Arabidopsis thaliana: one gene and its partners. The protein of the gene in region 1 interacts with the protein of each later gene in a pairwise test. Each region holds a gene or a part of one and is shown in the gene's direction. Other genes may lie near its edges.

Region 1 (7,893 bases):
GGAAAAGTGGGAAACCGGAATTGATTAAACCGGACGTATTAACTTGTAAGAAGGCGAAAAAAATAAATTGGTTGAGTAAACTAAATTAAATGAGGTTCACCTGTCATAGGACAATTTATTTATGTCTGCCAACTGCCCAGTTGATCTCATCCAACATAACAATAAAAATGAAATCAATGTACATTTGATGAATTCAATAAATAAATAATATCGATGTATATATATATGCACATGAAATGAAATGTATATCTTATTTCCGATTAAGAAAATGAGCAAACGATTCTAGTGGGCGCCGATGGTGAAAAAACCTGAAATTGATGAAAATATATACTACAATTGGTTCATGTACTTTGTCAAATAATAATAATTGGTTCATGTTCTAAAAACCAGACTGATCATATTCGTAGAATGCAATCATCAGTTCACCATATGTATATGATTCCTCATAAATCAACCTTCCATGGATTTATAGCAAAAAGAACAGTGTGTTTCTCTTTTAGTGTATTTTCATAAAAGACGTACCATAAATGAATAAATTGTGTCGTTATCAAAAAAACAAAAGTTTATAATCGTGGCTGTTTTATTTTTCCTTTTATAGTTGAAGGACATGTCTACTACAAAGCCATTAATAATATGAGGGCTCTTTTGCATTATTCAAGCCCTAAATGTGATCTCATTTAGTGAAAAAAAAGTGATCTCATTTATTATGTCATTAATGGCTCAAACCAAACACATATTAAACCTTTCATTTTCCAAACTAACAAATAAAGAAAAACAGATAGGCTTATACATTATACATGCATCACCCACATAGATTTAGATTATTAAAAATTTGAGGTTGACTGGTTTGAGCTGTGAATGTAATCTTTTATTTAATTTGGACTGTTTGTTGTTAGAATAATGGTTGGGACTTAAATTTTAAAGTCAACTAGTGATTTGAAAAAAAAACGAGGCTTAACAAGAATATTTAACTAGTTAATCTAGGGCTAACTTGTTAGTAAGAAATTTAAGAAATACGTTTAATACTTCATAACACTACAAGTGTGGATTGTTCATTTCACATCATAAAGTACTAAAACTTCAAATTAAGTGCCAAATGAATATCCTATGCATTTTTTTTTTGTAAAAAAATTAGATTGGTTCTATTGAGAATATGCATGCAATCTTTTGGTTACAGACCTCTAGTTAAAGGATTTTAATTAGTTCTTATTTTCTATTTAGAATTTGAATTAGTTTCATAAAACATATGCAGTGATCAGTTTATAAGGTCAAATCTCACCCTCAAAATACAAACATATTTCACGAGTTTGCCCAAAAAGAAAGAACTAGTATTTGACGCAAGTTTTCATTTTGAACCATTCGTAAGCTATAACTAGAAGATTAAATACGGTAGAATAATGAATGTATTATGGGAAAAATGTTAAAAAAATCGCCAACTTTTAAAAATGGGACAAAAAAATCGCCAACTCCTGAAATGTCATTTAAATCATATACTTTTGGTTGACTTTTCCAGAAAGATAATAAAGCAAAGATTCGTAATCAACAAAACTTTGCTCTGTTATCTTTCTAAAGAACTCAATCAAAAGTATGTGATTAAAACGACATTTCAGGAGTTGGTGATTTTTCATCCCATTTTTCAAAGTTGGCAATTTTTTTGACATTTTTTCCAATGTATTATTGAGTGTAGCTACATGAAGTATGAACCATTTATCTTGACATAGCATTGCGTACTTTGAAAATAATTTCTTTACTAATAAAAAAACCTACACTTTTTTTTATAATAAATTTTTTCACTCTGTTTAGAAACCATGAATTGGCTGCTCTAACGATTCAAGAGAAATTTCGGCCTACCTTCGAGTTGACTTTAGATTAAAAGTCAATCACAGGCCCAAAAGTAAGCCCATAACTAGGTCCAAATATCGAAGCCCATGAATAAACTTTTTCATCGAATCCTAAAGCTAAGCATCAAACCAAACATCCGATGATCTCTCCAAACTCATCAATCTGATCTATCTCTCTCTTCCAGCTGTTTCATGATCGATTTACTCTTAACTTACAGCTGATTACAATTCACTGTAATCTCTCAAGAACCCTAGATTCTTTTTTTTCCTTTTCAATTGTGATCCGTCAGGTATGTGAATTCGATTACTTTCTATATCAATTCAACGAATTCCAAAAGTCATGTTCGCGTATAAGCAATTTAACCTTGTCGATTTCTTTATATTTTCTCTGTATGTGTAGCAGCAATGCTTGATCTTTAAATTTACTGATATCTGAAGATCGAATTAGGGTTCTGATCTACTTGATATTTATTTGTTTGGGCTTTTATTCAGGTTAGTGTCTGTTTATTAAAACAATCGAATTATTCTGAGTTCATATCATTTCTTTGGATTGAAGATTTGAATTCCTTTTATAGCAGCTCGATCTTGGGCTGAAGCTATGGCTCAGAGTAATTGGGAAGCTGACAAGATGTAAGTTAATTTTGTATTCAATAAAAGCTTATTTTTTTTCAATTCCTTACTTTGATATCTTTGTGTTTTTGTAGGCTTGATGTTTACATATATGATTATTTGGTGAAGAAGAAACTTCATAATACTGCTAAGTCGTTTATGACTGAAGGGAAGGTTTCTCCTGATCCAGTTGGTAATATTACACTTTCTTTGTTCCACTTTGTTCTTTCTTAATTTTAAGTTTTGATATGTAATTGTTTTTTGTTGTGTGAATGATTAGCAATTGATGCACCTGGAGGGTTTCTTTTTGAGTGGTGGTCTGTGTTTTGGGACATTTTCATTGCAAGGACGAATGAGAAGCATTCAGAGGCTGCTGCAGCTTATATAGAGGTGAATGTCTTCTACTAACATCTGGGAATATGTTTTGTTAGTTTTGAATTACGTAACTGACCAGTGGTTTTGAAATTTTAGGCACAACAAGGTAAAGCGAAGGAGCAGCAAATGCAAATACAGCAACTGCAGATGATGCGCCAAGCTCAAATGCAGCGTAGGGACCCTAATCATCCTTCTCTTGGCGGTCCAATGAATGCTATTGGTTCTGAAGGGATGATTGGGCAGTCTAATGCTAGTGCTTTGGCTGCTAAAATGTACGAGGAACGCATGAAGCAGCCTAATCCTATGAATTCTGAGACATCCCAACCTCATCTTGATGCAAGGATGGCCCTTCTTAAATCAGCAACAAACCATCATGGGTAAATTGGCTCAGCTTCTTTTTTGCTGTCGTTTTTCTAGTCCTCATACCTCTGACCCCTTGTTGTCCTTTCTTTTTTTTTCTGTCCCTAAACAGTCAGATTGTCCAAGGAAACCATCAAGGAGGTGTTTCGGCAGCGCTGCAGCAAATTCAATCACGAACTCAGCAGCCCACTGTAACTACTACTCGAGCACCTTACTTTATACTGTTCAAATTTTCTAACAGACAAGTCTCCAATCAGATATTTTGGTGTACATCTGAATCTCTTGTACGTGCAGGAAATCAAAACTGAAGTTAATTTGGGTACATCTCCAAGACAACTGCCAGTGGATCCTTCTACAGTTTATGGCCAGGGAATTCTGCAATCAAAGCCTGGGATGGGGAGTGCAGGTAAATATATCAATGTATTGCATTGTAGAGTAATCGCTCACCGAAAAGAAAATGGTGGTAAAATACGTGGTAGTATGCCTTCTATGGCAATTAGTTGACTATGGACTCCAAAATTTAAATATTACTTCCCTGTTATGTGCAAAATCATGATGAATTACATAGGGTGATATGCTAATGGCATCACGAGAATCTTTTGCTTACAATTTGTATAAATTCTTATGGTGTTGTGTTTGTCCCTTGTGAAGGATTAAACCCTGGAGTGAGTGGTCTTCCTTTAAAGGGATGGCCATTAACTGTAAGTCTCTGTGGTTCTTCTAAGAATTTATTTGTTTGTCATTCCAAGCCCAGTATTTTGCTAAGTTTCTTGACAAATGTTACAGGGCATCGAGCAGATGCGACCAGGTTTAGGAGGCCCTCAGGTTCAGAAATCTTTTCTACAAAATCAAAGTCAATTTCAGCTCTCGCCGCAGCAGCAACAACATCAGATGTTGGCTCAGGTTCAAGCGCAAGGAAATATGACTAATTCACCCATGTATGGTGGTGACATGGACCCTCGAAGATTTACAGGATTACCTAGAGGAAACCTTAATCCGAAAGATGGCCAACAAAATGCAAATGATGGATCTATAGGGTCCCCCATGCAGTCAAGTTCGTCAAAGGTAAGACTTTCTCAAATTACCAATAAATGCATATCCCTGTTGGATGCAGTGGAATCTGTTGAGCTGCATTATATCATCTTTTTCGGGTAGCAGAGAAAAAATGAAGCATCTCATTTTTTCTGTGTTCCGTTAAGTGGTGTAATTGGATCATTACGTCTGTCCTTCTATGCATTTTTTCTGATAATTGCTCGTCTATGCTTTAAAATTGTACTCTTTTGGGTTATCGTCTGACTGCTATACTTTCCATTTGGAAAATGTGTAAGGTAATGTGTTTGTGTTATCCTAATGTAGATCTACATAGGTATCAGAATTTTGTTTTTTCTTGTTAACCACATGAACCCAATAATAGAGAAAACTTATCCGCAATTAGTAGCTGATTACTACCAAACATGGGGACTTTACTGCTAAAATTTTATCAATCACATTTTTTTCTTCTGATTTTCTCTCTTTCCGTTGCTTGTTGGTCTATAGCATATCAGCATGCCGCCAGTACAGCAATCTTCTTCTCAGCAACAAGATCACTTACTATCCCAGCAATCACAACAGGTACTTTTATGTGGATCCAATCCCTCAAGTCTTATCAAGCATGTGGTTTTAACCAACTGAATATATTCTTTAGTGTCTGAGATGATTGAGCCACAACTTCCTTTTCGTGTATCTGATAGAACAACCGCAAAAGAAAAGGGCCTTCCTCTTCTGGTCCTGCTAACAGCACAGGGACAGGAAACACTGTTGGCCCATCCAACTCACAGCCATCGACTCCGTCAACGCATACCCCTGTTGATGGAGTTGCTATAGCTGGTAACATGCACCATGTGAATAGCATGCCAAAAGGGCCAATGATGTATGGTTCTGATGGGATCGGTGGTCTTGCATCATCAGCAAATCAACTGGTATGTTTCTTAATTTCTCAGAAGAATGATAACGACAATCTAGTTTTCCTCCAATAACATCTGGATACAGCATGCAGTTGTGTTGTGTGAAACAAGTGCTTTCTTAGCAGCTTGAATATTTTTTTTATATCCCATGGGGCCGTGTTTCTTTCAGCTTTCTTATGACAAGAATTAATAGCTGCAGGATGACATGGACCAGTTTGGAGATGTGGGAGCTCTAGAAGATAATGTAGAATCATTTTTGTCCCAAGATGATGGAGACGGAGGAAGCTTGTTTGGCACCCTAAAGCGGAACTCTTCTGTGCATACCGAAACCTCAAAGCGTATTCTAACACCCCAAGGATAAGTATGATACAAGTAGACGATATAAATATATACTAACACGGTCCTTTTTCTCGTTTCAGCTTTCAGTTTCAATGAGGTTAGTTGTATAAGAAAAAGTGCCAGTAAGGTCATTTGCTGTAGCTTCTCATATGATGGGAAGTTGTTGGCTAGCGCTGGACATGATAAGAAGGTGCAACTTCTTAATTTCTGAGATACGGTTTGCTTATAAACTTGTCATGGCCCTAAAACAGCTATAGATCATTTATAGGTAGGTAACATTTTGTTTGTTTAAAAACAGATAATGTGGATGCAAATTTATTTTTGTCAGTAGGTATTTATATGGAACATGGAAACACTACAAGTTGAGAGCACTCCGGAAGAACATGCTCATATCATCACAGATGTTCGCTTCAGACCGAATTCAACTCAACTGGCAACGTCATCATTCGACAAAACAATCAAAATCTGGGATGCTTCTGATGTATACTAATTTAATTTGTTTCTCTTTTATTTGTTGCAATTTTTCGTGTTCTGCTGTGACTAACTACTACCAATTTGTGCAGCCTGGTTACTTCCTACGAACAATTTCTGGTCATGCTGCACCTGTTATGTCCATTGATTTTCATCCTAAGAAAACCGAGCTTTTATGCTCCTGTGATAGCAACAATGATATTCGCTTTTGGGACATAAACGCCTCTTGCGTTCGTGCTGTAAAGGCAAGCCCCTGACCTTTTGTATGGTTTCTCTGGGATGTGAACTCTGTTTGCTAATCGTTGAATTTTCCAAGCACAGGGGGCTAGCACGCAAGTACGTTTCCAGCCAAGAACAGGACAGTTTTTAGCTGCAGCGTCAGAAAATACTGTGTCAATTTTTGATATTGAAAATAATAACAAACGGGTCAACATTTTTAAGGTAGAGCTGAAGATGATATATTGATATTTTTGAATTCCCCGGGTCAATCCACATAAAAGACTAAAAGCTTTGTTTTTTACTTTTAATACTTTGAATCTTCAAAGTCCAGTGCATTTTTCTTGTTAGATGCATTGGGGCATATGTTTAGATGTCGTAAGTGTTGATCGTTACTCATGGCTTTATTTACTTTTGATCTGGCAGGGACATTCCTCAAATGTACATTCTGTTTGTTGGAGCCCAAACGGAGAGTTGGTGGCGTCTGTTAGTGAAGACGCTGTAAAATTATGGTCACTGAGTTCAGGAGATTGCATCCACGAGCTTAGCAACAGTGGAAACAAGTTCCACTCTGTTGTTTTTCACCCTAGCTATCCCGATCTCTTGGTCATCGGTGGCTATCAGGTATAACCTATATCCCCATTTCTCAAACAAATAATGTGTCAAACAATATCTAGTCTTATGTTCAAATGTGTGATGAGGTGAATGTGTCTCTCAGTTGTTTTAACTTTGGTAAACGAATCTGTGACAGGCTATAGAGCTGTGGAACACAATGGAGAACAAATGTATGACGGTAGCAGGCCACGAGTGTGTGATCTCTGCCTTGGCTCAGTCGCCTTCGACGGGAGTGGTTGCGTCTGCAAGTCATGACAAATCCGTAAAGATTTGGAAGTAGAAATATTTCTATGTTCGTCTGAAAAGAAAAGGAAAAAAGAAGAAATAGCAGAGAGCTCAGGACTTTTTTTGGGTCTAATTTTTTTTTTTTTTTTAATGTTACATTAATAAGTTGGTTTTTTTTTTAAATTGGGTTTGTTTATGTCAAAAGCAAAGAGACTTGTGATATTTCCAATCTTTGTCTAATGATCCTACTTCTTTACTTCGTTGTTTTGATCTCTAGTGTTTAGAGTGAAAGAGAGATGTAAGTAATTTCTCTAGACCAACTACATTGTTGAATAATAATTTCTTATAATCAGCCAAACGCTTGTTTTTAAGGTCTCTTTACGAATATCTTATAATGACACTGCATACATTAAGTTGGTTTAAGATGAATACAAAACTCTAAGCATGCACATTGAAAGTACTCGTACGTTAAAACTTAGGATTAAGGATGAGTTTATTATCTGCTTAGGCTTAAATTGTCTTTGTTCTGGGTTACTTATTGAACTTCTAATATAACCGCATCTTTCTTGAATGACTCTGCCTCTCTTTCAAAATTATTTGTTTCAGCATCACTGTAACATTTATTGTAAAAATAGTTTTTTTGGGTTTGAATAAATTTAACTTTCAACTCAAAAAAAAAGAAAAACTCGATATTATATATAGAAAACGGAAATGTGAAACATAAGGAGAAGTAAAAAGCACGGTTACGTTTGTGTTTGTTTACAATTTACAAACACGTCTAACTTGGAAAAACTAAAATAAATGTACTTTTTTTTTTTTGGTCTAAAATAAATGTACTTTTTTCTTAAACATGAACTTATTTTTTGTAACAGTTGAGTGGTTGAATGAATCATTAATTT
Region 2 (6,780 bases), on another chromosome or scaffold:
TTGGACCAATGGCGAAAAGCAAAAACCCTAGAGCGGCGCTCGTATGAATGTTGAATGGGATAAGGTATATATGAGATTCTCGACGGAAAGATGTATGGGCTTCGATAAAGAATATATGAGATTCTCGACGGAAAGATGTATGGGCTTCGGCCCATAACTCTTTGATATTAGTATAGAACCATAACAAAAGAAAAAAAAAAAACCTTAAACAAGTAAACACTAAACCCAATTGATTCTTTACTAAATTTAGTAATCAATGGTTATTGTGAAATGAAATTTAACTTTTCTTTCATATGAAAAAAAAAATTGAAACCATCCATGGATGGCCTAGTTTTATTTAGATAACTAAATATCTATGTTTTGAAATAGTAATCTATTACATGACACAAGAACGAAGATTAACTAAATCGAGAAAGAAAAAAAAGTGTAGATTTGGTAGACGCTGAATATATAAAAAAACTAAAGTGATAAAACAAATTGTCTTTTTAAAAAAGTATGGAATTTTCAAATTTCCCATTCTTTCGGTATATGATGAGAACCTTCACATGGATTTTATTTTTAACAACAAAAATCAATGTTGAAAAGTGTATGTACCTATGAAACAAAATCAGGGTCTTAACTAGTTTTTTGTTTTGGTTTTGGTTTTAATCTTTTCTAGTTGCTTTGCCTTATTTATAAGCGCAGATGAGGAAGAGAAAGGCGAAGGCACATCAGCTGCATGGGACGTTGCTGAAGCTGTGGCGCTCTCATTGTGTGATATCTTCAATCTCTGTTAATAGCTTTGTAATGGTGGTAACAATCCAAAAATACCCAATTACAATCTTATAAGTACCAATCATCATCCATCCTATGGTTTTTCTTTTTTAAACAAAATCCGATATAAAATTAATAAAAATCTATTGTATTAACACTAAAGGTCTATTTACGAAAATTTATAGTTACAATGATATGAAATGATAGAAAAAATGAAAGATTATAAAATTGTATTGACCGAAAAAAGAAGTTTAATATATATATATATATATAGGGATACTCATTAGAAAATCTATATGCTTAGTGAAAAATGACTCCTTCCCATAATATTAAAAACAGATAAACGAAATTGTTAACTAAATTTATTCAACAATAATAAACTTTTAACAATGACAGGTCACACTTTAAATGGAAATATGCATTGATAGACTTTCTCGGTTGAAGTTGTAACTCTAGATTTATTTTTGTAGAATTTAAAGATGTATTTTGTTCCTTTTGTTGTGAGCTATGAAATTAATACCTTATAATTGTAGGTTTTAGGAAGCGGTTGATGTATAGCATGTGCAGAGTAAGCTCGAAATGGCTGAGACGAAAAAAAGTGTCGCCACAATGATTTACTTTTTACTACTATACTTTTGATCATTGGGACCTAATGGATGAATGTTGTGTGTTGTGGACGAGTTTATGACACATAACAATATTGTAGACAAATTGTCTAATTTGAGTAGAGATACTAAAATTTATCTCCATATAATTGTATACTGTATATGTATAACAAATAATTCAATTCATTGGCCTAAGATGTTTTATTGTATCTTTGTAGAATTTTACACTTTAGAGAAAAATCATTGCAATAACTCGATGAAAAAAAATGTTTATCTTATCCTAGTTACAACTAACTATCTATCTATCTCTTTGTGGTAGGAGATTTGCATCTGATCGAACGATTCATATGGTGCCACGTAACTATGGTCCCACTTCTATTACGAGATCTACTAAGACATCAGCACGTGTCGGTGTCGTTTGATCCACGAGGTCGGTGACGCTTAGAGCTAGTTGACCGGTACAGTCGGTTATTACCGGTTATACTATATGTATGTTTTTTGGTCAAAGATTTGGAGCTATTTTATAGTTAATAAATCAAGAGTTTTTTTTTTCCACAACTAGGTCTTAATTTGTGATTGTTTTTTTCTTCCATTTTTCCAAAATTCTCTTATCAATTTCAGGTTAGTATTTTTGTTACTGTCCCTAGCTTTTGACTATTGTACTACTGTATACCCTTTTTTTTTGGCTTGAGAAATTAGATTTTGTTATGTTTGCGTAAAATATTTGTGAACTCAAAAATAAAATCTCTTTTTTTTTCATTGCCGATATTTTTTCTTCCATGAATGCTGCTGTAAAGTATTAATTTCCCTCTCTACTGAGTTTCTTCCAAATTTCTGATTTTTGGGATTTGTGCAACTCCCAAGTCGATTTCAGTTTCTGGGTTTTGATTTGAGTTCGCCGATTGGATTTGAAGTTTTAGTCTTTGTTGGTAAGTTCTATCCTTTTTGAGATGTTGAATTTGCTCTTCTGATAATTAGGGCTTCTGATTATTAGCCTACCAATCTTTGATTTGGTTTTCATTTCCTTCAGCTAAATATTTGTAATTCTTGGATCCTGAATGATTAACCATCTTAGTTTGATTGGTGAAAGTATACCATAGCTGCTTAGGATCCGTTTGGCTTTGTTATTTGCTCAGATTCTGAAAGGAAGGGTTTAAAGTTTCAAGCTTTTCATTCCGCTGAATCAGTCCTTGTATTTGGACGGCTTGATCTGTTATCTGCTCTCGTGGGTGGGGCATGAACAGAACGGTGGTCTCGGGAGCTGTTGAATCGAGTTTCTCATTGACTGATGCTGTTGGCACGGAAGCTCTAAATATGCAGAGGAGCAGTGGCATCAATAATAATATGCGTATCCCAACATCACCGATGTCTTTCTCCTCGAATAGCGTTAACATACCGGGTTCATTGGTTCTTGATGGCTCTGCTGCTTCAATGCAACACTTACCTCAGCAGCAGCAGCAGCAACTACTACAACAGCAAACAGGACAAGGTTCTGTTCCAATGAGGGAGAACAATTATTCCCATGTGGATAAGAAACCCAGATTAGAAGTGAAGCAAGAAGATATGTTGCAGCAGCAGATTTTACAGCAGTTGATCCAGCGTCAGGACCCCACGGGGAGGAATCCGCAGATGCAAGCTTTGCTTCAGCAGCAGAGACTGAGGCAACATCAGCAGATGCTTCAATCCATGTCACCCTCTCAGAGACTCCAACTTCAGCAACAGCAGCAGCTGAGACAGCAGTTACAGCAACAAGGAACCCAACAGATTCCTCCTAATGTACGTCCTTATGAAGTTGGCGTCTGTGCTCGGAAATTGATGATGTACTTGTATCATCTGCAGCAACGGCCTGCTGTAAGCTAATCCTAACCTATGGACTTCCAGTTATTTCATCACATCTATGCACCCATCGCTGATACCTCTTTTCTAGGAAAATTGCATTACCTATTGGAGGAAATTTGTGGCAGAATACTTTTCACCTCGTGCAAAGCAGAGATTGTGCTTGTCACAGTACGAAAGTGCTGGGCACCATGCGCTTGGCATGTTCCCACAGGCAGCTCCGGTCAGTTTATTTTTAGCTCTGGGTGTTTTGATTTTTTATGATATCAGTGTTCTGCATCCCTGTATCTTTAGCCATACACACGGTTTCTCCACCTGTACTATTTATGAATTTCACTTCATTGATTTCTCAATTGATAAGTCCATCATCTTCTCATTGTGTTTGCAGGATATGTGGCAGTGTGATCTTTGCGGCACCAAGTCTGGAAAGGGATTTGGTAAGTTAGTTGCAAATTTCATTCTTGTGTGTACTTATATATCTGTGCCTTCACTTGAGCACAATGAAGCAACTTACACATGCTAATTGGTCTCTTTTTATTGTTTATAACTATTAAGTCAAAATAGTAGCTAACTGTCACTTCTCGTGTTAATCCGCAGAGGCAACGTTTGATGTGCTTGCCAGACTAATTGAAATCAAATTTGCAAGTGGTATTATTGATGAGCTGTTATATCTGGATCACCCTCGAGAAAACAGATTTCCCAATGGACTGATGATGTTAGAATATAGAAAAGCAGTTCAGGAAACTGTACACGAGCAGTTTCGTGTTGTCCGTGAGGGCCATCTTCGCATCATATTTTCTCAAGATTTGAAGGTATCTAGAACAATTCTCTGGTTCCAAATTGTGTAAAGCGATGAAAAAATCAGGCACCAGTATGCTAATGCTTAGTTAATCTTGACTTTGCTTCTATCTAGATACTTTCTTGGGAGTTTTGCGCTCGGCGTCATGAAGAGCTTCTTCTTCGCAGACTTATTGCTCCACAGGTATTCTAATGGCACGACCCTTGCGTTTATTAATTGGAACTTAAGACTTTACATAAAATGTTTGTGGTCAACTGTATGACTTTGTTTCCTTAAACCCTTGTTATGAAATTGAGGATAGCTAATACCCGGTTTCTGTGTAGCTTATCTTCTGGTTTCCTATGAATAGAGCACAAAGTCTGTTATTTTACTTCAGAACAGATGTTTACAGATGCTGCAACGGTGCTAAGAAGTGTACTAAAATCTTATTTATTGGTCATGCAGGTGAACCAATTGCTTCAGGTTGCACAGAAATGCCAGAGCACGATCTCAGAGAGTGGGTCAGAGGGGGTTTCTCAGCAGGATTTACAGTCAAATAGTAACATGTAAGTTAATGCACATTATTCTTTTATTGTCGATACTCTGGCATTTGTTTCTAGTGCTTTTTATCATTGCTGGGTGCCATTTTGTGTATCAGGGTCTTGGGAGCAGGACGGCAACTGGCAAAGTTCATGGAACTACAGTCGCTGAATGATCTTGGCTATCCAAAAAGATATATCAGGACTCTGCAGGTATTCCTTTGCTCCTTTCCTTACTGTTACTGTTGTATATGAAGTCGTAAGAAGTCCTAATATTGAGGCATGCGAGTGACAGATATCTGAAGTTGTCAAGAGCATGAAGGATCTGATGAATTTCACTGGCGAGCAAAAAATCGGTCCTATTGGTAAGTATACAATTTCCATCCACAATATTCTTCTTGAATGAGATCCAAAACCAGGTTTCCCCTCTGGTGCACCTTTTACTTGAAATATGTACTGGTCGTTGTAACTCTCCTGGTGAAAATGTTCTGACTGAATCTGAATGTTATGATACCTGCTTATGTCATTTATGTAGAGGGGTTGAAACGGCTTTTGGAACAGACGGTGACAGTGAAGCTACAGAAACAGAAAATGCAAGAGATGGAGCAGTTTGGGAATAATGGAGCTATAAATGGGCCAGTTCAAGCTCAAATGGTGTTAACTTCAGGAACGATGAATGGCTCAACGGGCAATAACACCAATAATCACCATCAAATTGTTGGTCGTGGAGCTATGAGTGGGCCAGCTGAAGGTCAAATGGTGATATCTTCAGGAACGGTGAGCGGCGCAACTGCCAACAACAACTCCAATAATCACAATCAAATTGTTGGTCGTGGAGCTATGAATGGCTCTGCTCAAGCCGCAGCAGCTCTGACCAACTACCAAAGCATGCTTATGAGGCAAAATGCTATGAATAACCCAAACTCAAATACGGGTAAACAAGAGGGGTTCTCGAGTCAGAACCCAACCCCAAACTCAAACCAGAGTCCATCTTCTTCATCCCAGCAGAGGCATAACTTAGTTACAGGTGGATTTCCCAACTCTCCTCAAATGCAACAGCAGCAGCGCACCATGAATGGCCCTACCAACATACTTCCGCAGAATCATCCTCATCAGTTACAATCACCACATTCACATGGTAACACTCCGGAGCAGCAGATGCTTCATCAGCTGTTGCAGGAGATGTCTGAAAATGGAGGGAGTGTGCAACAGCAACAAGCCTTTTCGGGTCAAAGTGGTAGCAACAGTAACGCAGAGAGAAACACAACTGCCTCTACTTCCAACATCTCAGGAGGAGGCCGAGCTCCAAGTCGAAACAACAGTTTTAAAGCAGCCTCGAACAACAACCTTCATTTTTCAGAAGATATATCGATCACAGACCATGATTTCTCAGAAGATGGCTTCTTCAACAACAATGATATCTATGGTGGCTTGTAATATTCCCACAGAACGCAGGCATTGTTACTTTGACTTAACACAGTGAAAGAGAATTTAGGGCTTATTTTTCTCATTTAGGTTGGTCTTTGTATAGAAACCAAAGAGATATGAGGCCGGCCAATGAAGGAATTTGTGATTTGTTGTAACTTATCTATAGGAACTTTTAAGCATCTTCATTTCCCCTTTTAGAGATAGTAAGATTAAATCTTAGATAACTTCTGCAGACACTTTCAAGTAATCTTATTTAGTTTTATGCTTTTACTTTGATAACAGTTTGTTTATATAAAGGCTTCTTGAGTCACTCCTTTTACGGTTTGCACATAGTAATAATACTATGGTCTCGATTTAGCTTTGAAACCAAATGATTTAGCAGATACTGGATTAAAAGACTTGTACCAAAAAATTTGCGAATAACCAAAGTAAAACTCTTTGGTTTTGTTGATTTGACGTTATGGATATCAAAATATAAGGAATCTCTTTTGAACACACAATGGTAAGTAGATATGCAAATATAGAACTCAGATTAAGATGTTTACTGGCATATATCAGAGGGTTCATTTTTTTGTTAAAGATAAGAAAACAAAACATACAAGTAAGATGCTTAAGGAAAAATGTAAACAAATATTACTATTTGAAATCCGTTAAAGGATGAGCAACTTAAGATGCTTTTCTATTAACAGATCGTTATCAAAGTAAAAGCAAAAACAAAGAATATGATTACTTCATAGTGTGTTAGCAGAAATCATAATCTAAGATTTCACCCCACTATCACTAAAAGGGCAGAGAAACAAAAAACAAAAACAAAAATCTAGTGTCTATGGGTCGGTAGACC
Region 3 (5,426 bases), on another chromosome or scaffold:
TCACAATATAATACTTTTCTTTAGGTTAAAGCTCTCAACTGTTGATGAAGTACAAGAACTCAAAATTGTGAATGAAAAAAAGGGACATCATCCAATATCAGGCGTGTACATATTAGCATTGTTGTGTATCTTTTTATATTATAGTCCATTAGTCCTAATCGATAGATGTATTTTTTTTTGTTTTATTAGTTATAAAAACAGACATCTATTATTAATTTGTTATGGTTAATTGGTTATTGTATATTATTATAGTAGAAGTGACGTGAGGTACCAACGTATTAGATTATAAATATAAATAATGGCCAAAGACAAAGCCATTTGTCAAAACTTCAACGTCATTATAACCTGTAAGATTAAAAATGAACAATAAGAAATCATATTTAGCAAAAAAAAAAAAAAAAAACAATAAGAATCATTTGTCAAATCTTCAACATCGTTACAGTGTATAATTTATATTTTGATTTTTTGTTCTAAATGATCAAAGTTCATATATAAAGTTATTTATATGCTCAAATTTAATCATCGAATATATATACAATTTGTCTATGTTATTTGTCAAAGACAACGTCAGCAATAGTTCCATATACTCTCTTTTTCTTTCGGAGTCTTTATATTACTCACGGAGATATTAAATTATATTTATTTTTTCACTGAGATATTTTTTTTTTTTTGGTTTAATGTTAATAAACTCACTGAGATATTAATTAATACATGCAATCTTTATCTATATTTCCCATTTTTATTTGTAAATGTGTCCCTTCTCGTGTTATGCGAGGGTCTTTTTTTAACTTTTTAATTTCTCATTTGGAAGCTTTCATCTATAAATATATGCACTAGCTTATTCTATATATAACATAAAACCGAAAAAAGGTTTTGTTCACGATGTGGATTCTCTGTTCACGAGAGGTTTTGTTGAAAAAGAAAGAAAGAAAATAATTCAACTTGAATTTGGAAGTTTGGTTACAGATCACATCATTCGACAATAAAAATAAAGACATATATAACAATTAGAACAGTAACTAATTTGAATTTCAGCTTCGATTTCTTACGAATCACATGGGGTCAATAAGGGTGGGGCTAGAAAAACACGTACGTTTGGAGACCAATGTGTGTATCATTCCTGCATGCGCATCAGATGTGTTTCACTCTTCAGAAAAACGTTTATTTTATTTTGCATGTCACAGTCGTAGCTAATTATCCGTACGCATCTTAATTACGACTCCATTTTACACACCAATTTATGGATATATAATTCAGACAAGATGAGTTCTCGTTTAATTTTACTTCTTTCCATTTGTGGAAGTTCATATACTATTGTGAAAATTTGAAAATAACTGGTGAAAGAGGAAACGTCCATATTTGTGGGCTCTATTTATAATAATAACAACAATATTAATTGTTTAGGTAAAAATTAACAGAACTATTTTGAATTACAATCGGAAAAAGGTTTGCGTCAAAAAAGTATTGATGAACCATGCATTTGATATAAGCATTTATGTTTGTTCAATTTACTATTAAGCAATTAAGTCGAATTTTATCGAATCATTTTAATTTTTACCTTTAACATTTCTGTGATCTTGAAATCTTTAAATTAACAATGTGAGTTATATACACTAGAGAAAAATAATTGCATTCCACTGAAAACCTCAACATCTTGGGAAATTTAAACTTAATCAAAGACATCGCAAATGTTGCTTATCTTTTTATCAAGCCCAGCCCACATATTCGCGGCCCCAAAGCCCAAAGGTTAAGCTGACTCGTTACAAAATAAATAAGTATTAATAAAGGTTTTTGATTGGCTTATTTCGGTTTAAATTTAATACCATATCTTTCGGAAGATCACGTGAGACACATGTGACATCCAACGAATAGCCAATCGCTGAAAAGTGAAGACTTTTTGTTACCCCATAAACAAAAGCATCATCTCTCTCTCATCTTTTATTTTTCTTTTAGAAACCAAACTTTTCAGATTTCTCTCTCTCCATTTGGCGATAGAAGAAGTCATGTACCAATCATCATCCTCCACGTCATCATCATCGCAGAGATCATCGCTTCCCGGCGGCGGAGGACTGATCCGTTACGGCTCAGCTCCGGGATCGTTTCTAAACTCTGTGGTTGACGAAGTCATCGGAGGAGGCTCATCAAACGCTCGTGACTTCACCGGCTATCAACCGTCGTCGGATAACTTCATCGGTAACTTTTTCACCGGAGCTGCTGACTCATCCTCGCTGAGATCCGATTCGACGACTTGTGGAGTCAACAACTCATCCGACGGACAGAAACAGCTAGGCAATAACAATAATAATAATAGTAATAAAGATATCTTCCTCGACAGATCCTACGGTGGATTCAACGAGATCTCGCAACAACACAAGAGCAACGACATCGGAGGAGGAAACAGCTCAGGATCTTACTCTCTCGCTAGACAACGTAGCTCTCCCGCCGATTTCTTCACCTACCTCGCCTCAGATAAAAACAGTTAGTCCTTTTTTTACTCAAGAATAGTAACTGTGATGAGATATATATATTTAGACAGACAAGTTTACTCATTTTCAGACCATTTTTCCTTAGAATTTGCCAAAAATCGTAATGTAGAATATGAGCTATATAGTTTTCAGTCATTCAATCATTCATTGCTCAACTAAAGATCCGTTTTTTGGTGAAATGAAAATCTAACCACGAGGGTATTTTCGGTATTTCTCACTGTGAAGTATCTAGTTTCTTACAAGTTAATTAACGACTATGTATATAAAATAAGTTGACATTGTGAGCTTTGATATTTAGGGTCGTTGCTAAATTAGCTTGGTTGGTACTTGTGCAAGACGTGATCCTCGTATTTTCGGAATGACGAAAATACCATTTGATCCCTAACCACGTGCTTGAAAATACAGCAAAAATGTGGCTCGGTTACCCTTAATTTGGGATATTATTTAAATCTTCGAGGATTCCTATATCTCAAGTTGCATTTATTTATTTAGAGGATGGATTTTTTCGTTGATGACCAATAGTTTCTCTGCTGAGATGGCGAAATATCATTGGTTGTGATGAAGATTATTCAAATAGAAAGCGATGTAGATCTAGTTGGTGGATCTGATCTGTCCACTTTTATATTATTTTTTCCTTGGTCCTGATGATTCGTGCTTTGCTTCGTTGTTATCTAATCATAATATCTTCCACCAAGCCTGGATGTGACTTCCCACACCTAACCGGTCACCGGCCTGAACCGGAATTCAACTATCCATATTATCCAAAAATCCCTCTTTATTTACTTACATTATATGGTTTCTAATATTTTGGATGTGAATGTGAATTATTTTTAAAAATAATTTTCACGTAATGTCATTATAATATAGTTTACTTTGTAAATCAGATTTCTCGTTGAACCAACCAACCAGTGATTATAGTCCGCAAGGAGGGTCTAATGGGGGACGAGGACATTCCAGATTGAAGTCTCAGCTAAGCTTCACGAATCACGACTCTCTGGCTCGGATCAACGAGGTCAATGAGACCCCAGTCCACGACGGTTCAGGCCATTCGTTTTCTGCGGCTAGCTTTGGTGCAGCCACTACTGATTCTTGGGATGACGGTTCCGGTTCGATAGGGTTTACCGTGACTAGGCCCAGTAAACGATCCAAGGACATGGACTCTGGTCTCTTTTCGCAGGTACAATTTATTTGTTTCCATGTGGGATTCCTTTTTTTTTTTCTTCATGTGTTATTACTATAAACATGCTACTTTAGTCAAATTATATGAAATTTCAAAATTTCTAGAAAAGGACAAAAAAATGTAAAATATTTGTTTTAGGATAGACATAAAAAAAAAAATTAACTAGTAAAGGTAAATGCAGCAAAACTCTTTAGTGGCCATACATTTTTGTTGGTGGCCAATTCTTACCGAATATTTTTATCACTGGTTTTGCAGTATAGTCTTCCTTCAGACACTTCAATGAACTACATGGATAACTTCATGCAGCTTCCAGAAGATTCTGTACCCTGCAAAATCCGGGCCAAACGCGGCTGCGCCACCCATCCTAGAAGCATCGCTGAGCGGGTCAGTTATAAACACTTTTTAATTTATTTAGCGATGGATAATTAATTCACTAAATTTAGCAACAAATTTGATCGTCCCTAATCATGTAGACCCTATTCTTTTTGCCATCCTCCTATCTTAACCTATACAATATGTTTATATTATAGGAGAGGAGAACGAGAATAAGTGGGAAGCTAAAGAAGCTACAAGATCTTGTCCCCAACATGGATAAGGTTACTTTATATCAAATATATATAGTATATATGGTAACATCATTTTGAAAAAGTGTTCATTACCTCACACACTTGTTGCTGATTTTCTTAGCAAACAAGCTATTCAGACATGCTGGATTTAGCTGTACAACACATCAAAGGCCTTCAGCATCAACTTCAGGTTCCCTTATCTTACTTTTTCTGTTTAGGTCAGCTGAATCCATTTCCAGAGTTCTCTCTAGTTCATGATCCATATTGATACATAAACACATTTTCATATACAAACGCAGAATTTGAAAAAAGATCAAGAGAATTGCACGTGTGGGTGCAGTGAGAAACCAAGCTAGCTCAAACCCAAAGGTAGGGTCATCCTAATTTTATTTGCATTGTTCCGATTTTATCATATGAGAGAATTAGAGAAGATGTAAATAAAATAGATTATATTAAATGTCTAATCCTCTTATAATTAAGCTCCTCATTCGTTATCATTATAAGATAGAACAGTGACAATTGTCCATTATGTTTTTGTTTCAAGTTTATGTTTTGAGTGTCGCCTATTTTGTAAGGATTATGCTATGAATTCTGAAACTAATTCGAGTTATGATCATAAGCAAAGCAAGCTAGCATCCATTATATATATGACTTTCTAATTTGATCTCTCTTTTCTTTATACTTCTTCATAAATAGTTCCTGAATTGAATATTGAAATTAAAGGTACGCTAATTTTTCTTATTTTTAAAATTGAAGAAATGGACCAAATACCAAAGTTACTTGAACCAATGAAAACATTAATAAGCAGAATTCACGTACCAAAGACCAAAGTGAATCTCGTTGATCATATAATGAATTATGATATATTTAGTAGTAGTTAGAAACATGCAAATAGATATAGGTTGATATGAAAATTGGCATAAAATGTATGAACCGGAATACTATTAGTAGCATTAACTTTCCTATTATTAACAAAACTAGCGTGTATGCACGTTACAGAGAAAGATTTATTCTTTATTAGAGATGAAATTTCTTTAGTTATACATACACTTTGGTTTTGTAAGTTAAAAAAATATAACTCCCTCCTACGTTACCAAGAAGTCCACCAACGTGGTGGATTTTAAAATAACTAACCAAAAACACAAATCAGGGAAAAGTCGTAAATTAAAACTGATAATTTGGAGGAAAATATAG
Region 4 (3,142 bases), on another chromosome or scaffold:
ATCTATCTACCTTACATGAAAAAGTCCATCAGATCCAATCTCTGGTCAGCTTCTACATGGTATCTACTAATAACATTAACCAATCCTCGGGGTCAACGTCTTTGGCCGTGGCTAACATCGGAAGTTTGGTTCAAGAGATCATCACGGCTGCTTCATCCATGTTATATACTTGCCAACAACTCCAAATCGGATCTAACAACAACAACAACGATATCGATAATGATCAAACCGTAGATGCAATGGTTTTGGAGTTTTCCCGACAAGAAACCGACCCGGGTCATGATTTTGTGCAAGAGTCGACCAACCTTTTTGGTGTCCAAGAAAGAGGGCAGATCTCGTTTCCCGACCAGAATCTTGATTGGTACAACACCGAAACCATAAACCCTAAAAAAGATAAACATCGTTCTAAACCAAGTTCCGGGAGCTACGATATACTGGAGCTAGACGTAGCGGACCTACTAGCGAAATACACGCATTACTGCCAGATTTGTGGGAAAGGGTTTAAGAGAGACGCTAATCTAAGGATGCACATGAGAGCGCACGGGGATGAGTACAAGACACGTGAGGCCTTGATCAGCCCAACGAGCCAAGACAAGAAAGGAGGATACTCGTTAAAGAAACATTACTACTCCTGTCCTCAACACGGGTGTAGATGGAACCAGAGGCACGAGAAGTTTCAACCGTTGAAATCTGTGATTTGCGCCAAGAATCATTACAAGAGGAGTCATTGTCCCAAAATGTATATGTGCAGGAGATGTAGTGTGAAGCATTTCTCGGTTCTGTCTGATCTTAGGACACACGAGAAGCATTGTGGGGATATAAAGTGGGTTTGCTCTTGTGGGACTAAATTTTCTAGGAAAGACAAGCTGATGAGCCACGTTTCTTTGTTTTTGGGCCACGTACCGGCACATGGGTCGTCCAAGCCGCCGACAATCACCCTAAAGTAAGAACATAGGAAGTTTGAGGTCTATAGAGATTTCATAGACGATATCTCAAGAAATGACACGTGCATTCACTCCCTCTCTTTTTTTTGTTCTTTTTCTTTTCACGAGTTTCTATATTCTCTAAATTAATGTCACAAAGATAAGATAATATACAGATTTGTATCATAGTGACTTGTGCATTAACGTTAATGTTACAAATGATTTTGGTTCTGATGGGTATCATGCATAGATTTTCACTAATCTCAGAAATATGTGGAATCAGTGAGAATCAAAATTTATGTTTAATACGTCTCTCACTTCTCAGATTAATCAACAACTATCTATTGATATATCATGCAGAATTTTAAGAAAATATAAGAAACATCGTTAACTCTGTTAAAATACAACTACATATTAACTTATTAAGATGAGTCCAACTTATTAAGCTGAACTAAATGTTTGTATTTTAGAGAAATTCAAAATTTGTATCTATAAAAAGTTGGTTATTTTTGAAGAATTTTGAAAGAGTTGAAAACTTATAATTATGCATTAGTTCTTCATTTCCATAAAAATGTTAGATAGGAAAAAGTTGTTACCAACTTTGTAGATACGGTAAAATCATAGCCGTTCATTGGTAGACGGATCAAAAGTAACCACGTCAGCTATCCACGCCAAAAACTTTTTCTCTCTTTGCCGCTTCATGAACTTATGGCGGATAACAAAAAGCGCAACAGAAAATTCGAATTTTTCAATATTTCGAAAAAGAAATTTAAAATCACTCGCGCATTAAAGTAAAATAGATCTGAACCATCCATTCACCAAAACCCTTCATCGAACAGCACTCATATCTCCACGTCACGCATCCGCGTTTCAGTATCTTAACTAATCAGATCTCTTCCTATTCTCTTATATAAACAAACACACAATTCTCGAAGATAACAGTATCAAATCAAAACCATCACAGCAAAAAAAACTCACTCCCTAGAAAAGTTTGAAAATGGCGAAGGCAGATAAGAAACCAGCGGAGAAGAAACCGGCAGAGAAAACTCCGGCAGCCGAACCAGCAGCAGCGGCAGAGAAGAAACCAAAAGCCGGAAAGAAACTCCCGAAGGAACCAGCCGGCGCCGGAGACAAGAAGAAGAAGAGATCAAAGAAGAACGTTGAGACATACAAGATCTACATCTTCAAGGTGTTGAAGCAAGTTCATCCAGATATCGGAATCTCCAGCAAAGCCATGGGAATCATGAACAGTTTCATCAATGATATCTTTGAGAAACTTGCTGGTGAGTCTTCGAAGCTTGCGAGGTACAACAAGAAGCCGACGATTACTTCTAGGGAGATTCAGACTGCGGTGAGACTTGTGTTGCCTGGAGAGTTGGCGAAACATGCTGTTTCTGAAGGGACTAAGGCGGTTACGAAGTTTACGAGTTCTTAGATTTGGAATGTGGTTTTGTAATGGAGGAGAAGTAGTAGTAGTAGTTGGAATGTGAAATAGGGTTTATGCTTTTGGGTATCTTTGAGGGTTATGTAATATGGGAATTAGGGTTTTAATTTATGGCACGGCTATGAAATCTACTTAATTTTCCAATGTTCGATTGCAATTTCATTGCTCAATTTCTCAAATCTGTTAATTTTGATTAGAATCTAAAGAGCTCCACTTTAACTGAGATAAAAAAAATTGAAACAGTGATTCTCATTGCGTATATATCTAAGCTTTGATTTGAGAAGTATTGTCCAAGTTATGTGATTTTGAGTCTCAAAACTTTTTAGACAATCAAAAATCAAGTTCTTATGCAGGAATAAATCTGTTTCTTCAGTTACATTCAATGGTTAAGTTGGACTGGTGTTACATGAAGGACAACGACTTAAATGGATTGGAGAACAAACTACAAAACGATATTATCTTATGAATACAAAGCTCACAATGAAAACACCTGCGTAATTGTTTTGACTTGATTGGATCATTTCTTTGGGTAAGTTCGATGATCAGGTCCAACATCGCGTGAGCCTGTGTTTATGTAAGGTCCTCTAAAAGTTGCTTGAGGAGGTAATGGTTTTGTTGGATCGATAACTGGTTGTTTCGAAGATCTGCAACCCAAATGAGACAGAGTAAACAACAAATGTCATACCACAAGATGAGAAAATAACATTTGAGAGATAGAATAGGGTGCTTACGCCATGTAAAAGGGGAAAGCTAAGCCTGCAGATGCGAAAAGAAC

The links.
Region 2: the proteins of LUH (region 1) and SLK1 interact in a two-hybrid assay, tested with the Arabidopsis thaliana proteins (one study listed by BioGRID).
Region 3: the proteins of LUH (region 1) and AT1G05805 interact in binary tests that used the Arabidopsis thaliana proteins (3 or more experiments, as listed by UniProt).
Region 4: the proteins of LUH (region 1) and HTB2 interact in a two-hybrid assay, tested with the Arabidopsis thaliana proteins (one study listed by BioGRID).

What each region holds. Positions count from the first base shown.
Region 1 is NC_003071.7:13,864,796-13,872,688, forward strand, and holds LUH (LEUNIG-like protein), read left to right. Parts: upstream 1-1,976; 5' UTR 1,977-2,131; exon of another isoform or gene 2,132-2,244; 5' UTR 2,245-2,333; intron 2,334-2,416; 5' UTR 2,417-2,439; coding exon 2,440-2,471; intron 2,472-2,545; coding exon 2,546-2,643; intron 2,644-2,730; coding exon 2,731-2,840; intron 2,841-2,921; coding exon 2,922-3,202; intron 3,203-3,297; coding exon 3,298-3,376; intron 3,377-3,479; coding exon 3,480-3,648; intron 3,649-3,836; coding exon 3,837-3,886; intron 3,887-3,971; coding exon 3,972-4,250; intron 4,251-4,721; coding exon 4,722-4,796; intron 4,797-4,915; coding exon 4,916-5,143; intron 5,144-5,321; coding exon 5,322-5,466; intron 5,467-5,547; coding exon 5,548-5,657; intron 5,658-5,798; coding exon 5,799-5,948; intron 5,949-6,030; coding exon 6,031-6,183; intron 6,184-6,259; coding exon 6,260-6,379; intron 6,380-6,580; coding exon 6,581-6,778; intron 6,779-6,905; coding exon 6,906-7,049; 3' UTR 7,050-7,362; and 1 more. UniProt on the Arabidopsis thaliana protein: Transcription repressor subunit of the SEU-SLK1 and SEU-SLK2 transcriptional corepressor of abiotic stress (e.g. salt and osmotic stress) response genes, by means of an epigenetic process involving histone modification (e.g.
Region 2 is NC_003075.7:13,031,618-13,038,397, reverse strand, and holds SLK1 (SEUSS-like 1), read left to right. Parts: upstream 1-1,926; 5' UTR 1,927-2,287; exon of another isoform or gene 2,288-2,494; 5' UTR 2,495-2,594; coding exon 2,595-3,209; intron 3,210-3,285; coding exon 3,286-3,417; intron 3,418-3,582; coding exon 3,583-3,631; intron 3,632-3,791; coding exon 3,792-4,006; intron 4,007-4,107; coding exon 4,108-4,176; intron 4,177-4,437; coding exon 4,438-4,538; intron 4,539-4,630; coding exon 4,631-4,724; intron 4,725-4,806; coding exon 4,807-4,876; intron 4,877-5,046; coding exon 5,047-5,948; 3' UTR 5,949-6,241; downstream 6,242-6,780. UniProt on the Arabidopsis thaliana protein: Probable transcription regulator that functions in the development of the carpel margin meristem similarly to SEUSS (SEU).
Region 3 is NC_003070.9:1,742,840-1,748,265, forward strand, and holds AT1G05805 (basic helix-loop-helix (bHLH) DNA-binding superfamily protein), read left to right. Parts: upstream 1-1,604; 5' UTR 1,605-2,003; coding exon 2,004-2,478; intron 2,479-3,370; coding exon 3,371-3,663; intron 3,664-3,921; coding exon 3,922-4,050; intron 4,051-4,196; coding exon 4,197-4,262; intron 4,263-4,353; coding exon 4,354-4,422; intron 4,423-4,531; coding exon 4,532-4,588; 3' UTR 4,589-4,895; downstream 4,896-5,426.
Region 4 is NC_003076.8:7,651,346-7,654,487, reverse strand, and holds HTB2 (histone B2), read left to right. Parts: upstream 1-1,773; 5' UTR 1,774-1,920; coding exon 1,921-2,358; 3' UTR 2,359-2,620; downstream 2,621-3,142. Other genes in the region: AT5G22890 (C2H2 and C2HC zinc fingers superfamily protein), read left to right, coding at 1-947; AT5G22875 (uncharacterized protein), read right to left, coding at 2,885-3,011, 3,099-3,142. UniProt on the Arabidopsis thaliana protein: Core component of nucleosome. Nucleosomes wrap and compact DNA into chromatin, limiting DNA accessibility to the cellular machineries which require DNA as a template.